Drosophila melanogaster: one gene and its partners. The protein of the gene in region 1 interacts with the protein of each later gene in a pairwise test. Each region holds a gene or a part of one and is shown on either strand. Other genes may lie near its edges.

Region 1 (3,774 bases):
ATTTTTCTATTCATGACATTGATCATTTCAATTTTATTTTAAATGCAGCAGAGAAAAAGCTTTTAATGTTATTTACATTGGTAGATTTTAATACAAACATATTATTTCCTATTTTCACAGCTAGCTGGGTAAAACAATCGACTTCTTATATTTTTCTTATCGAGAACTTGACTTTCATAATGGATCCGCTACCCTATTTTCTATTATCTGTTCTATTGTGCATTATGATACGGGTACAACTTCGATTTAAATACAATCAAAAATAAAAGTTTTCACTTTTGTTGTAAAAGTATATCAGTTTTTAAATTTTTGCATTAAGAAATATATACATTCTCTAAGAAAAAACTGAATGACTGGAACAAAAAAGTGCCGCGCTGTTTGATTTATTAACCAATCCATGTGAATATCAATGGGAAGTACTTGTGATGATAAGGCCAAAAAAGACATATACAAAACACTTACGAAAAATACTTACCGATTGTAAATGACGTTAGAAATCTTCTTGCTTTTGGGCATTCCCTTACAAGGGTTACTATTTATTTATTAATCATAATAACTTAAATATATTTGTTGTATCAAAAACAAGCACTATACACGTTGAAGGGATAGTATTTACTCTTGATGGCTTGTCGGGCATGGGCAACACGTTCTCCATTGTGATACGAGTCCAAGATGGCATGATCTTCAGCATCCAGCTTGAAATCGAAGACATTGAAGTTCTCCTCAATGCGCTTGGGATTGGAGGACTTGGGCAGCGGGATGGTTCCCAGCTCAATCTGAAATTAGAATTCATCATGAGAAATCCGGTTCAACATAAGGCCTAAATCGAAAATCCTTACCACATATCGGATCACCACTTGGGCAATGGACTTATTGTACTTGTCTGCGATGGCCTGAACCTTGCCATCGTACATAAAGGTGGGCGTCCTCAACTCGGCATTGTGCCTGCCCAGTGGACTGAAGGCGGTCACCAGGATTCCATTCTTCTTGCACAGGGCAATCAGTTTCTTCTGATCCAACGCGGGGTGTACCTCAATCTGCAGAAAGAACAATATGAGTTGAGAAACTGGAGGGAACATCCTGTGACTAAGTTACTTGATTGTGGATTGGCTTGATCTTGCAGTTGGCCAACAGGCGCGTCAGTTGCTCCTCGTTGAAATTGGACACTCCGATGCTCTTGGTCAGGCCCAGGTCAACCAACTTCTCCATGGCGCCCCAAGTGTCCAGGTAATCAATGTCTCTGTAGTTTGAAGCAAGTAAACGGCATAGTAAGATTACTGATAATAGAAGGCGCATTTCACAATCACTTGTAAGTGCCAATCGATTCGAAATATTTCATATATTATTCATTTTACTCACACAAGTTCCACCTCTCCATTGGCATCTTTGGGAATCAGTTCGTTATCACCGCGATATTTATAGGAGAAAGGCCAGTGAATCAGATAGAGGTCAACATAATCCAGGCCAATATTCTTCAAGGTCTTTCGGCAGGCATACTCCACCCTTTCCGGTTCATGGAAATTGCACCAGAGCTGCGGAAATATGTGGCCACTTAAGGATTAGTTTATGATATGCCTGCTATAAGAACTTGCCAACTGACCTTGGTGGTGATGAATATGTCCTCCCGCTTGATGACGCCTTCGGCAATCTTCTTCCGAACCGCCGCACCCACTTCGGCCTCATTTCCGTAGAAGTAGGCGGTGTCTATGTGCCGGTAGCCCACATCAATCGCGTGGAGAACTGCCCGTTCGCAATCGCCTTCCGTCGACTGAAATCACAAGTCATCAATAACGTTAGCGGTTCTTCAAATGACGTTAACCCGGCTACTGATAGGCGACATTCCTGATCCGTATCGGATATGCTATGATCAACCAGTCAATGTCATACCGCGAAGGTGCCCAGTCCGATTCCCTGGATATGGGTTCCGTCGTTGTGCTTGAAGTAGTACTCCACTTTCCCGGTCATCTTCGCGGTTACAAAGTTGAACACTGAATGCTTGGGTTGCTCGCTTCACCTCTGTTATAAGGTTTTCGAATGGGCCCATAGAACCTTCAAAAGACCTTTTGCATTTGCAGATAAAACACGGCCAAGCTGGCAGAGAAACTTGGAAATAGTTTATAGAGACGCAAGGAGCGTAGGTTCTAAGTGTGCTAACCAATATATTAAATGCATTATTTTAATGTTTTAATAAGGATAAATTAAACACATATTTTTTATAAATGATCCAAACCAAATCATGTGTAAAATCCCATTTAAAAATATGTGGGAACACTTTTGAAAAACACTTATCGATAGCTTGATAGTTGAGTGGCGCGCAAAGCTGATTCGGTTAACTTTATCGCTAGTTTTGTTTATTTACCTATTACATGTGGGTTTGTTTATATTCTCTTCCCTTTTATAGCTTTTCATTTTTGCAATCTGCCTTGCAGTTGTGAATAATTGAATTCAGACAAGTGTTGGCGAAATTGTACTAGACCAAATGATTTTGATTAAGTGGAATTTTCCATGCCAAGCCCACACTAAAAACTAAATGATCGAGCAAAAGCTCTCTCTCAAATCATTAAATGTTCAGCAGTGGTGTCCAAAAAAGGGTATTGTTTAATTAAGATTATATGTATATAATCACAAAATGAATTCGTATTGTTTTCATAGATGACTTCAAATGTTTATTATATTTTATGCCCCTTTAAAATATTTGCCACACCCTTGACTGCAAATAAGAAACAGTTCAAGTGATAAGACTAAAATAGAAGAATTACGTACTATCAAAATGCTTAAAAGTAAAACTAATGCGATATTATGTAAAAAAAAAAAAATAAGTGTGCTTGTTATATAAAAATCTCCAAAATAAACATAAATATTTCAACATGAAAAAAGATCTCAAAAATAATTATTATTGGTGTTTATTTTTAAAAAACATATGTATATGTACACAAAATATCAGATTTAACAACCACTTTAATTAATATCAAACATTGCTCCTGCTTTCCAGCTCAAAACTCGATGTTAAATGGATAGTTCTTGCTTTTGATGGCGTGGGTCATGGGAATCAGACGTTCTCCGGTGTTGTAGGAATCCAGAATGGCATGATCCTCAGCATCCAGCTGGAAGTCGAAGATCTGGAAGTTCTCCTCGATGCGCTTGGGATTTGAGGACTTTGGCAATGGGATGGTTCCAATCTCAATCTATTTCGATAAACATTATGTTAATAAAGAGTTTTTGTTCTCATTAAACCTAGTTCGTAATCCCTACCAGATATCGGAGCACCACTTGGGCGGTGGACTTCTTGTACTTGTCTCCAATTGCCTGCACCTTGGCATCATAGATGTAGTTGGGCGTCTTTTCTGCTGGATTGGGTCTGCCCAGGGGACAGTAGGCGGTCACTACAATGTCATTCTTCTTGCACAGAGCAATCAATTTCTTCTGGTTCAACGCGGGATGACATTCGATCTGGAAAATGGTCTATTAGGAATATGAAACCCAAGGCATAACCACAATTGACGCACCTGATTGTGGATTGGCTTGATCTTGCAGTTGGCCAGCAAGCGAGTCAACTGTTCCGAGTTGAAATTGGATACGCCGATGCTCTTGGTCAGGCCCAGTTCCACGAGCTTCTCCATTTCGCGCCAGGTGTCTAGGTAATCGATATCGCTGTAATAGCACAAATTTGGTCATTAAGAGTCAAGCAAATACAAACGAAGCACACCCGCATTAGAAAAGTAATTGACTAAATTAAAAACTCACTTGAGTTCCACCTCCCCCTTGGCATCGGTG
Region 2 (3,782 bases), about 16 Mb from region 1:
CGACTCCGGATACAGGGGCACAAGCCGAATTCCAGCCACATATCTGCCGCCACTGAGTGATCCTGGCTACGATAGAACCATTCGGAATGCGAAGACTCTGTTCTTCAATGAAATCAATCAATTGGCCTTCACCGACAACAACGTCTTCGAGCTCGATGATGACGAAGTCGAGAGCTCGAGGGTCAAGCGCGAGTTGAAACTTGACGAGGATGACCTCCTGTCTAAGAGGATCATAAAGCGCGAGTCCAACCAGGAGCACAATTCCGAACAAGAAGTGATTTCCCTGACCCTCGGAGTTAGAACTGGCATCAGTGTGAAGTAGTCGTTGAAGGTCTAGTAGACTGTAAGGCATACAAATATTATAATATCATCATACACCGATATGTATTTACCTAGAATGATATTCATTAAATATAAACTATGTACAAATGTAATCTCTTGAATCAATTTTGAAATTATGCTTAGACAGGGTATCATCACTTACCTATTTACGGTTATTAATTTTGTGTACAGCAAATCTCTTGTACTTTAATAATTTAATTAAATATTTTAGTAATTATGTGAGAACAATCGCTTGAGTCTGTAAAAGAAGTTGGTTCTAAGACTCGGGATATCGGCAATAGGAATTGCTTTCGATGGACTCGTGCGGAATCCACTCCTCATACAAGGGCAATCGATTCTTCAGGGTCTCGATCTCCCGCAGAATCCGCATCACATTTCCCCCAACCAGCTTCTTAATAGCAGCATTGCCCCACACCCTATCCCTTGCCAGTTCGGCAAGTAGGAGGGCATAGCTCTTCGGAGCTCCTCCAAGTCCAATGTGATCCACTCCGGCTACCTTGCGCACATAGTTGATTGCAGTGATGGCCTCGCGAACGCCCAGTGTCCGATCGCCACAACGCTCCAGGTTGAGCAAGATTACGCCTCCATTTTCCGGCAATAGGCTGTGGGATATATACAATTAAGAGATGTCCTATAGGACTAAATGAAAGCTCACCTGAGGACGTGGTCTGGAATGGAAGCAATGTTGCTGCTATTGCACATGGACAGCGGTGTGGCATTCGTGAGTAAAACAGGAGCTTTGGCAGTTTTCAAAACAGCCAACATGGCAGCCTCGCTGAGCATCGAAATCTCCACCAGCATGCCCAGGCGGTTCATCTCAAAGAGCATGGTCTATAAAAGAAATAAATGAATGAATAAATACTATCACAATGGTTGTGCCCACCTGTCCAAATTCGTTGAATGAATTCGTAACATTTTCCTCAACAAGATAATCGGGTCTCCGGATTGCTGCCGCCGCCCAAGGAGTGGTGCACTCCAGGCTCGTAATCGAGACGAATCGTGCTCCCAGCAGGTAGATGGAACGCAAGACGGCCGTGCTGGTGCCCAGAGCATGGCCACCACTGATACCCATGAGAACAGCCACCTCGCCGCGGATGTGAGTCTGCTCCATTTCATCAGCTGATTCGACGATGTGCATGGAATCTGTGGCGGCGGTAATCCGCTTGGCCCTATCAATGCCCTCCAGTGTGAGCTGCACGGCATCCAAGTACTGAGCTCCGCACGGCACAGCAATGGGCCAGAGCACAGCACCGATGTGATTCTGTCGCACCTCGAAGAGGTTGCTGCTGTTCAGGCTCATGGTGCTCGGTGGCTTCCACGAGCCCTCGATCAGTGGAGACTCCGTCAGCAGGCGGCGGATGAAGGCGAGTCGGGCCTCCAGGAGCGACGAAGAGCGCAACTGGAGGGCCAGCGGAATACCACCCGCCATGGCAATGCACACGAGCACCACACCAACGCCCAGCAAAATCTTTCGTCCTCGTGATCTCTCTGGTCTCTCCGCAGAGGACTCGCTGCAGGAGTCCTTCTTGGAGCTGTACGTGGGGATGCCCCCGTTGGAGCACCTAATCTTTTCATTTCCACCTCCGAACTTGGTTATCTCCGCGGGCAGTTCGATGTCCGCTATCTCCGTGAATACAAAACATTGCTGCTTACAGTGTGGTTGATGCTGGTGCAGCGGATGAACCTCCAGGAACTCGCGGCTCGGTACGGGATTCATTGCATCGTCTGGTTCCCAAACTCTTGCCTACCCGAGGTTTCCTACCGTAGATTGTGATTCAATTCAACAAGCTTGCACTGCGACGAAAGCTCGAAACTGGGATACTATCGATTTTTCCTGTGTGTCCTGTTCAGTGTTCACATTTTACTCACAAGGACATGCGCGCTGGATAGTTATTTTGTTTAGTATGGCAGCATCCCAGCGTGAGCGGGATAAAAGTGTTTTAAACATGTAATATTCGGTATAAATTGTTGTTTTTTAATATAGTTAAACCCTTTCTTCTTTTAACCAAACAAACATTTTTGGGCTTAAAAGATTTGTAAGCGACTCAATGTTTAATTAATAACGTCTTAGATCTATTTGTAAAAGCTACATTTTAATTTTAATGATTAATTACTCGCATTAACCGACTGACGTTTATAGTGTTTGATATTTAACTACTTCTTGTGCGCCTCTATGACGATTTTCATCAGCTTGTGTGGAGGTAAAGATTCCAAGAGGCACAGCAGCTGGATCTGATTGGTGATGCAGTTGGAGCTCAGGGCGATTTGCACTGCTTGGGCGAAGCGTTCCATGCACTTCTGATATGCGGCATCCGCTTGGGGATCGGTTTTTGATTCCGCCAGCCGTGCGCAGTAGCTCTGCAGGGATTTCACGATCTGCATAAGATCTTGACTGGGCAGCGCTGTCGATTCCCCACTGCTGACAAGCTGTTGCAGAGCACGCAGGAGGGATAGATGCAAATTGCTATAGGCGGAACGGTTGGAGACCAACGGCGCCAGGACCACCCATCGAAGCAGGCCTGCTAGGGGAGTGGTAAAGGGCATGGCTATGGCTCCGGCGGGCAGGACCAAAGGCTGCTGCGAGGCCTGACACAAAGTGGGATTCTCCATCATCCATTCGGTTATGGTGTCCAGCAGAGCATCTGGCGGTGGATTCAATGTCGGCGAACGCTGCTCATTGAGGTACAGATCCGCCACGGCGACCATAAAGTTGGCCGCAAAGTGCGGACCCACCATGGGCAGCTGCTTGAGTTGCTCGGGGGTTTTCCGGGAGTACGAGATAAAGTCGCTGACTATATTTTGGGCCACTTCCAGGCTGAGTGGCGTCTTGCACCCCACCTGTTGCATCCATGTGCCGGCAGAGGAGAGCAGCGGGGCCACGGAGCCGGAAACTGCTGTGCTGATCAGCCGGGACAACAACTTGGATCGCTGCGGTGTCAAGTGGCTTCCGAAGAGCGACAGGAATATGGCGTTGCGGGTGGCATCTCTTCCTGGTCGCGAAAAGTACTCAATCAGCGCTATGATCAGCTGGAACTCCTGGAACAGATTCATTTGGCTAATGGGCAGCGCCTGCGACTTTCGCACGTCGCCATCCTTCGGGGTTCTTTCCAGGAATATGAACTCCGATATAATTTGCATCACCATGTTTTGCTTGTTCCTGCTGGCAATCAATGTTTCTGCAAAATTAAAGCGTAAGAAATGCTTGGGATTTAAAATAAGCAACTTTACCCAGTCGCGTAAGTGCCTCCACCGCACAAGTTGGATAATTATCCAGCTTCATATCGCCCTTCCGTAGCAAGAGCTTATTGCTGTCTATCGACATCGACATCCTCTAGTCCTTTATCTTGTACAAAGCAGTGACAGGTTTTTAAGAATGTATGGTAATGCAACAGAAAAATAAAAACAAACCGTGGAACTTTAGAGGTGGCAGATATTCCGAT
Region 3 (4,664 bases), on another chromosome or scaffold:
GAATGAGGCAGATACACAAACAGCCAGGCAGCCAAGCAGCCGGTCACATGTGTGATCGGGGGTACAACATCTTGTGTCCATATGTTGCACAAACAAACAGAAACCGTGAAGCCACGGAAACAAGAAAACCAGAAAACCGAAAAACAAGGAGAACTGAAAACCGAAGGGAATGTGCCAACGAACGCATCTTCAGACCAATGAAAAACAAAGAAAACATAATCCGAAAAGCTGAAAAAGAAACCAAAACGATACGGGCGAGTCAAAAAAGCTGCGAAATGATATTTTCTCATCTGTTGGCTGCCGTTTTGTGCTTTAATTTTTTTTTTTTTTTTTTTCTTATTCGCTTTGCAGTTGTGTTGTTGATGATGCAAATATTTTGACAGTTTGTTTGACAGATATCGGGGCACACAACGGGGCGTGATGTGATGAGCGATATACAAGCCAAGGGCCAAGAAGGGTGGGGGGTGAGGGATCGGATACCCTTGGAAAGCCGGAAAAGGGCCATCGAATGAGGACCCATCTGTCGATGTAAACAGAGCAGCACAATTCGCTTGCCAGGCGAATATCAGTTTGAAGCATCAGAAGTTGCCATATGCAGTGAGTTGTACTTTGCGCTTCAGACTTTCAAGAAACACTATGGAATCAGTGGCGAGTTGCACAGTTTGCCAAAAAGAAAGGAATGGTGACATAACGTATGGTGTTTAAACTGATTATTGATAGCTAGCATATGTGCTTTTCAGTCAAGTTCAGCTATCAATTTAAAAACGAATAAAACCCAAGATAAACGATATCGAATGCCCCAAGGGGCACCGTGCCACCTGATCGTATGCGCAATGTCCGATGACCGGCAATACGCATACGCCGGATGGGCAAAAGCGGAGGATGGAGCTATCGTGCTGCAGCAGTGACCTCGTTTGCAGTCCGATTTGCAGTGGTTCCTTCTTCAAAGTGTGGCTCCCATTCCCGTCCCACTCCCAGTCCCAGTCCCACCGATAAGCCCTGAGCAGGCGACATAGCCCCCGTATGTATGTATGTGTACATGTGTTCGAATTTGGCCTCATTTACGCAACTTCCGATGTGATAAAAAGTGTGAGCGCTGCAGCAAAACAAATCGAATGGAAACGACATGCTCGACAAAATCAAGCAGAGTACCAGAATTGTCCAGCAGGTACTGCCGTCCGTTCACAAAAGCCATTGAAACATTCACAAACGTTCAGTGATTTTAAATGTTAATTAAAGAAATTATTTCATTGCAAGCAAATGTCTGTGGGCAACATGTCATTAACACGCTGATAACGCGCTATCATCAAAGCTCATTATGGTGGAAAACATACACACACACACTCGCACACACACACACAGCGACCCCTCCCTCCTTCAGGCACAAAGATAGAATTTGGAACTGAAACAATCGACTTCTCATAATAATTGGCAAAGCCATCCGAACACAATCGCATCAAATTCAAAAGCCAGCATCTGAACTCGATCCGAATTTGTGAAAAGAAATTAATTCAGCGTCTGTTTTTTCGAGAGAGTGATAACCTGCGATGATGACCCCGGCCCAATGGACTTGGTGATCTATTTTTTTGGCCTCTGCTCAACTCGAAATCCGGTCCTTAACATTGTCCGTAACCGAGCTCCGAAACCCTGAAGCCTCGAAGCCCGGCTCAACTTCCTAATTTGATGGCGAGTGGAGGAAAACTATTTTCCAAACCACTTACAATAAATACATTTTTATGCTAATCACTGGTGGCGCTCGTTTTGTGTCTGTCTGTCCCGCCTATTGGGAAAAAAAAACAATACTCGTATGTGTGTCATGCTAAATAGTTCAAGTTCGTCGCGGAACCCAGAGTTGTGTCATCCGGAATAAGAGATCATTGGGTTACCGATCTCGAATGGGATGTGCATCAGCTGATGGGCAATGGTCATGTGAATGGTAAGCGGCTGTTAGGATCATGTCACCGAATAGAACTAATCAAATTGTTAACTGCATTCCTGGGCCTCAAATAGCAATGTAATAATTATAATACTACATATCCCAACAAGAGGGTCGAACTCACCTTGGCATTGGTCAGCAGCGGTGCGTGGCAGGCGGCGAGGACGAAGGTCACGGCAAGGAGGCGCAGGAGCAACGATCCTCCCGCTTGACCTCTCCGCCCGCTTCTGATTCCGACCGAGGTCGCGATCGCGGACGCTTGGGATCCCGGCGATCCCATCATCTCTTTTCCGGGTAACGGCGGTTTTGGTTTCTTTTGGCAGCTATTTAGGTTTGGCTTAGGTACTTTGTGAAGGCAGTTTCGGTTCGTTTTGTTTAGTTTGGCTTTAAACGGCTGGCAGGTTGTGGTTACGGCTATGGCACTGCACGGAGAAAAAAAGCCCCAGACATTAATTCGCAATTGAGCAACAATTAAGCGTTAGACAGAGACAGAGATAGAGAGCATCCTGATATTATGTTTCTGGGGATTTTTTTCTCCGCGCACGGAAAAAGGGGAAGCAAATCGGTGATTTGACATCAGCAAAATTTTTTGGCTTTGGTGAAACCAAATCCGAATTAAAAACCAGAGAAACCGTCATGTTTCAGAAGTTTCTTCGAAAAATCCGAATGATCCCCTTTGATCATCTGTTCGCTCCTGGACGAGCCGATATTTGTTTCCCCTCTTTCTGTTCGCTTTTCCGCCTTTTCGCTTTATTTTCTTGTTTCATTCCTTATTCTTTAGTTTCGTTTCACACGCGATGGACACTATTCGTATTCGTTGCGAGTATGGGTTCCTTTTTGGGATCACACTAGTTAATGAATGAAAAAAAAGGAGCAGGGCTTGGGTTTTTGTTTAAACGTTGAACCGATATCACCAGGATATCTTGTCGGGGATTTTCAAAATTTCGGCACTTCGAGGATGTGAGAGCACTCAAAAAAAAAAAAAGACAAACGCTCCCCACAAGAGAGTCAGAGTCACACAGAAAACAAAGGGACAGCACACCGTGGAATGTGCGACCGCCTGGAACGATGGCGCGCAACCTAATGTCTAAGAACCGTTGCTGCGATTCCCATCGCTGCCTCTGCTCTGCCGGCGTCGCCCGAAGACGCACGAAGGCCGAAAGCGCGACGGAGCCGAAGCGATTTGCGTGCTCTTGTTATTGTTTAACGGCGCTTAATGGCCATTGCAAGCCTGTTGCGTCGATGCACCGCACTCTCTCTCTCCCTTACCCTCTCCCTCTATCCCTCTCTCGCTCACATGCGTGGGTGTCCGCTTACGCAGAGTTAGCTGCGCCTGCTCTCTCTCCTCTCGCTCTGCCTGTCCATCCTTATTTGCGGAGCGTAGTCGCGATTTAGCCAGTCGGCTAAAGCAGCATTTAAGGCCGTAACGATAGAAAAAAAAAAGTAACTATCACTTTAGTTGGATAGTAAGCCCCCCCTCCCCCATTTTTTTTTACTCAACACCCGCCCAAGTGGCTCTCGCTCTCTGGGTCAACTGATAAACAAGTGAAAACCGTTGCTCCTTGCTCTCTTTTCACCTTTCGTTGTTGCTGCGGCAGCCGGTTTGCAAATTATCCCACTCACTCCCACGAAAAGCGGCGCTCTCCTCGCACATTTTTTTATTGAAGTTCTTTGAATTTGACACTCAAAAAAAAAGGAGAGTCCAATAAAATGCTGATGCAATTCGCGTAGGAAAGCCAAACACCAGTGAAAACGTATTTGAAACACGAACTTTATAGCCTTTACTCGCTGTTCCTACGAATATTAGTGTTTATGGACAATTAATTCTTGGCGCACCTAAAACATACATACAACCATGTGAGCAAATCATCTTAAATGTGCAGTCATCGGTCTAAAATTGATGCAAAGCACTATTTTAAATATTCAACACAATACAAGTTTGGCAGGACGGACATCCATGTGATATTAGCATTTCGGGCTCGTCGGCTTTGGCGGTTAAGTCGGTTTGTCAACTGGCCATAGGACCGGCCACAATCCGTGACCTTCAGCCGATTTAGCCACCACCCCCCCCCCCCCTGTCAACACCACCAAAAAGGCGGCTTCCCATTGGCGCCTGACCCAATGACATCCGAAAATGACGCATGCGTGAGGGTGAATTACCGGACTTGGATGCCGACGCCCCACATGGAGGACCAATGGACACGTTGCGATTTTTTAGGGCCCCATCTCCTGGAATAATTGGCCCATTCCTCAGGTTCGTTTCCCTGTTCCTCCCCTTTTTCGCCTTTGCTAATGTAAAATATATTTAATATTTAAATGGTGAACGCTCACAAGTGGCCACAGCTTCCGTTCGCAGATAAGAAAAGGTACTAAAAATACACGCAGAAAATTGTTGAATACGCTATTGAAAATAATGGCAATGGTCTGTATACACTTGGAGAAATTAGCTAGATAGACACCAAATACACAAATACGTGCTTAATATTGAGCTTTGCCTAGGTGTTAAGTTTATAAATTAGTGATAAGATAACATTATAAATTTTAGTAAAATTGTGCACAAATTCATTTCAATGTTTTATTGGTCGCAGTGCGATTCTTGAACATATTTTCTTCAATTGAAAAGCAATGACATCTGTTCGACTTTCGTAGCACTTGTTTTTTCAACTGCTCAAATCATTTAATATTTAGACATGTGTGCACTCTCGAGCATTTCATTCAATTTAGGGAG

Evidence for each region.
Region 2: the proteins of CG12766 (region 1) and CG5282 interact in a two-hybrid assay, tested with the Drosophila melanogaster proteins (one large-scale study listed by BioGRID).
Region 3: the proteins of CG12766 (region 1) and trol interact in a two-hybrid assay, tested with the Drosophila melanogaster proteins (one large-scale study listed by BioGRID).

Annotation. Positions count from the first base shown.
Region 1 is NT_037436.4:3,938,120-3,941,893, forward strand, and holds CG12766 (uncharacterized protein), read right to left. Parts: upstream 2,007-3,774; 5' UTR 1,966-2,006; coding exon 1,888-1,965; intron 1,769-1,887; coding exon 1,601-1,768; intron 1,533-1,600; coding exon 1,360-1,532; intron 1,241-1,359; coding exon 1,096-1,240; intron 1,038-1,095; coding exon 840-1,037; intron 777-839; coding exon 576-776; 3' UTR 505-575; downstream 1-504. Other genes in the region: CG10863 (uncharacterized protein), read right to left, coding at 2,994-3,185, 3,253-3,450, 3,507-3,651, 3,745-3,774.
Region 2 is NT_037436.4:20,423,901-20,427,682, forward strand, and holds CG5282 (uncharacterized protein), read right to left. Parts: upstream 2,172-3,782; 5' UTR 2,060-2,171; coding exon 1,226-2,059; intron 1,174-1,225; coding exon 998-1,173; intron 945-997; coding exon 599-944; 3' UTR 524-598; downstream 1-523. Other genes in the region: zye, read left to right, coding at 1-322; CG5274 (uncharacterized protein), read right to left, coding at 2,497-3,518, 3,571-3,670.
Region 3 is NC_004354.4:2,542,405-2,547,068, forward strand, and holds the start of trol (terribly reduced optic lobes), read right to left. Parts: upstream 3,024-4,664; 5' UTR 2,979-3,023; intron 2,505-2,978; exon of another isoform or gene 2,359-2,504; 5' UTR 2,220-2,358; coding exon 2,061-2,219; intron 1-2,060.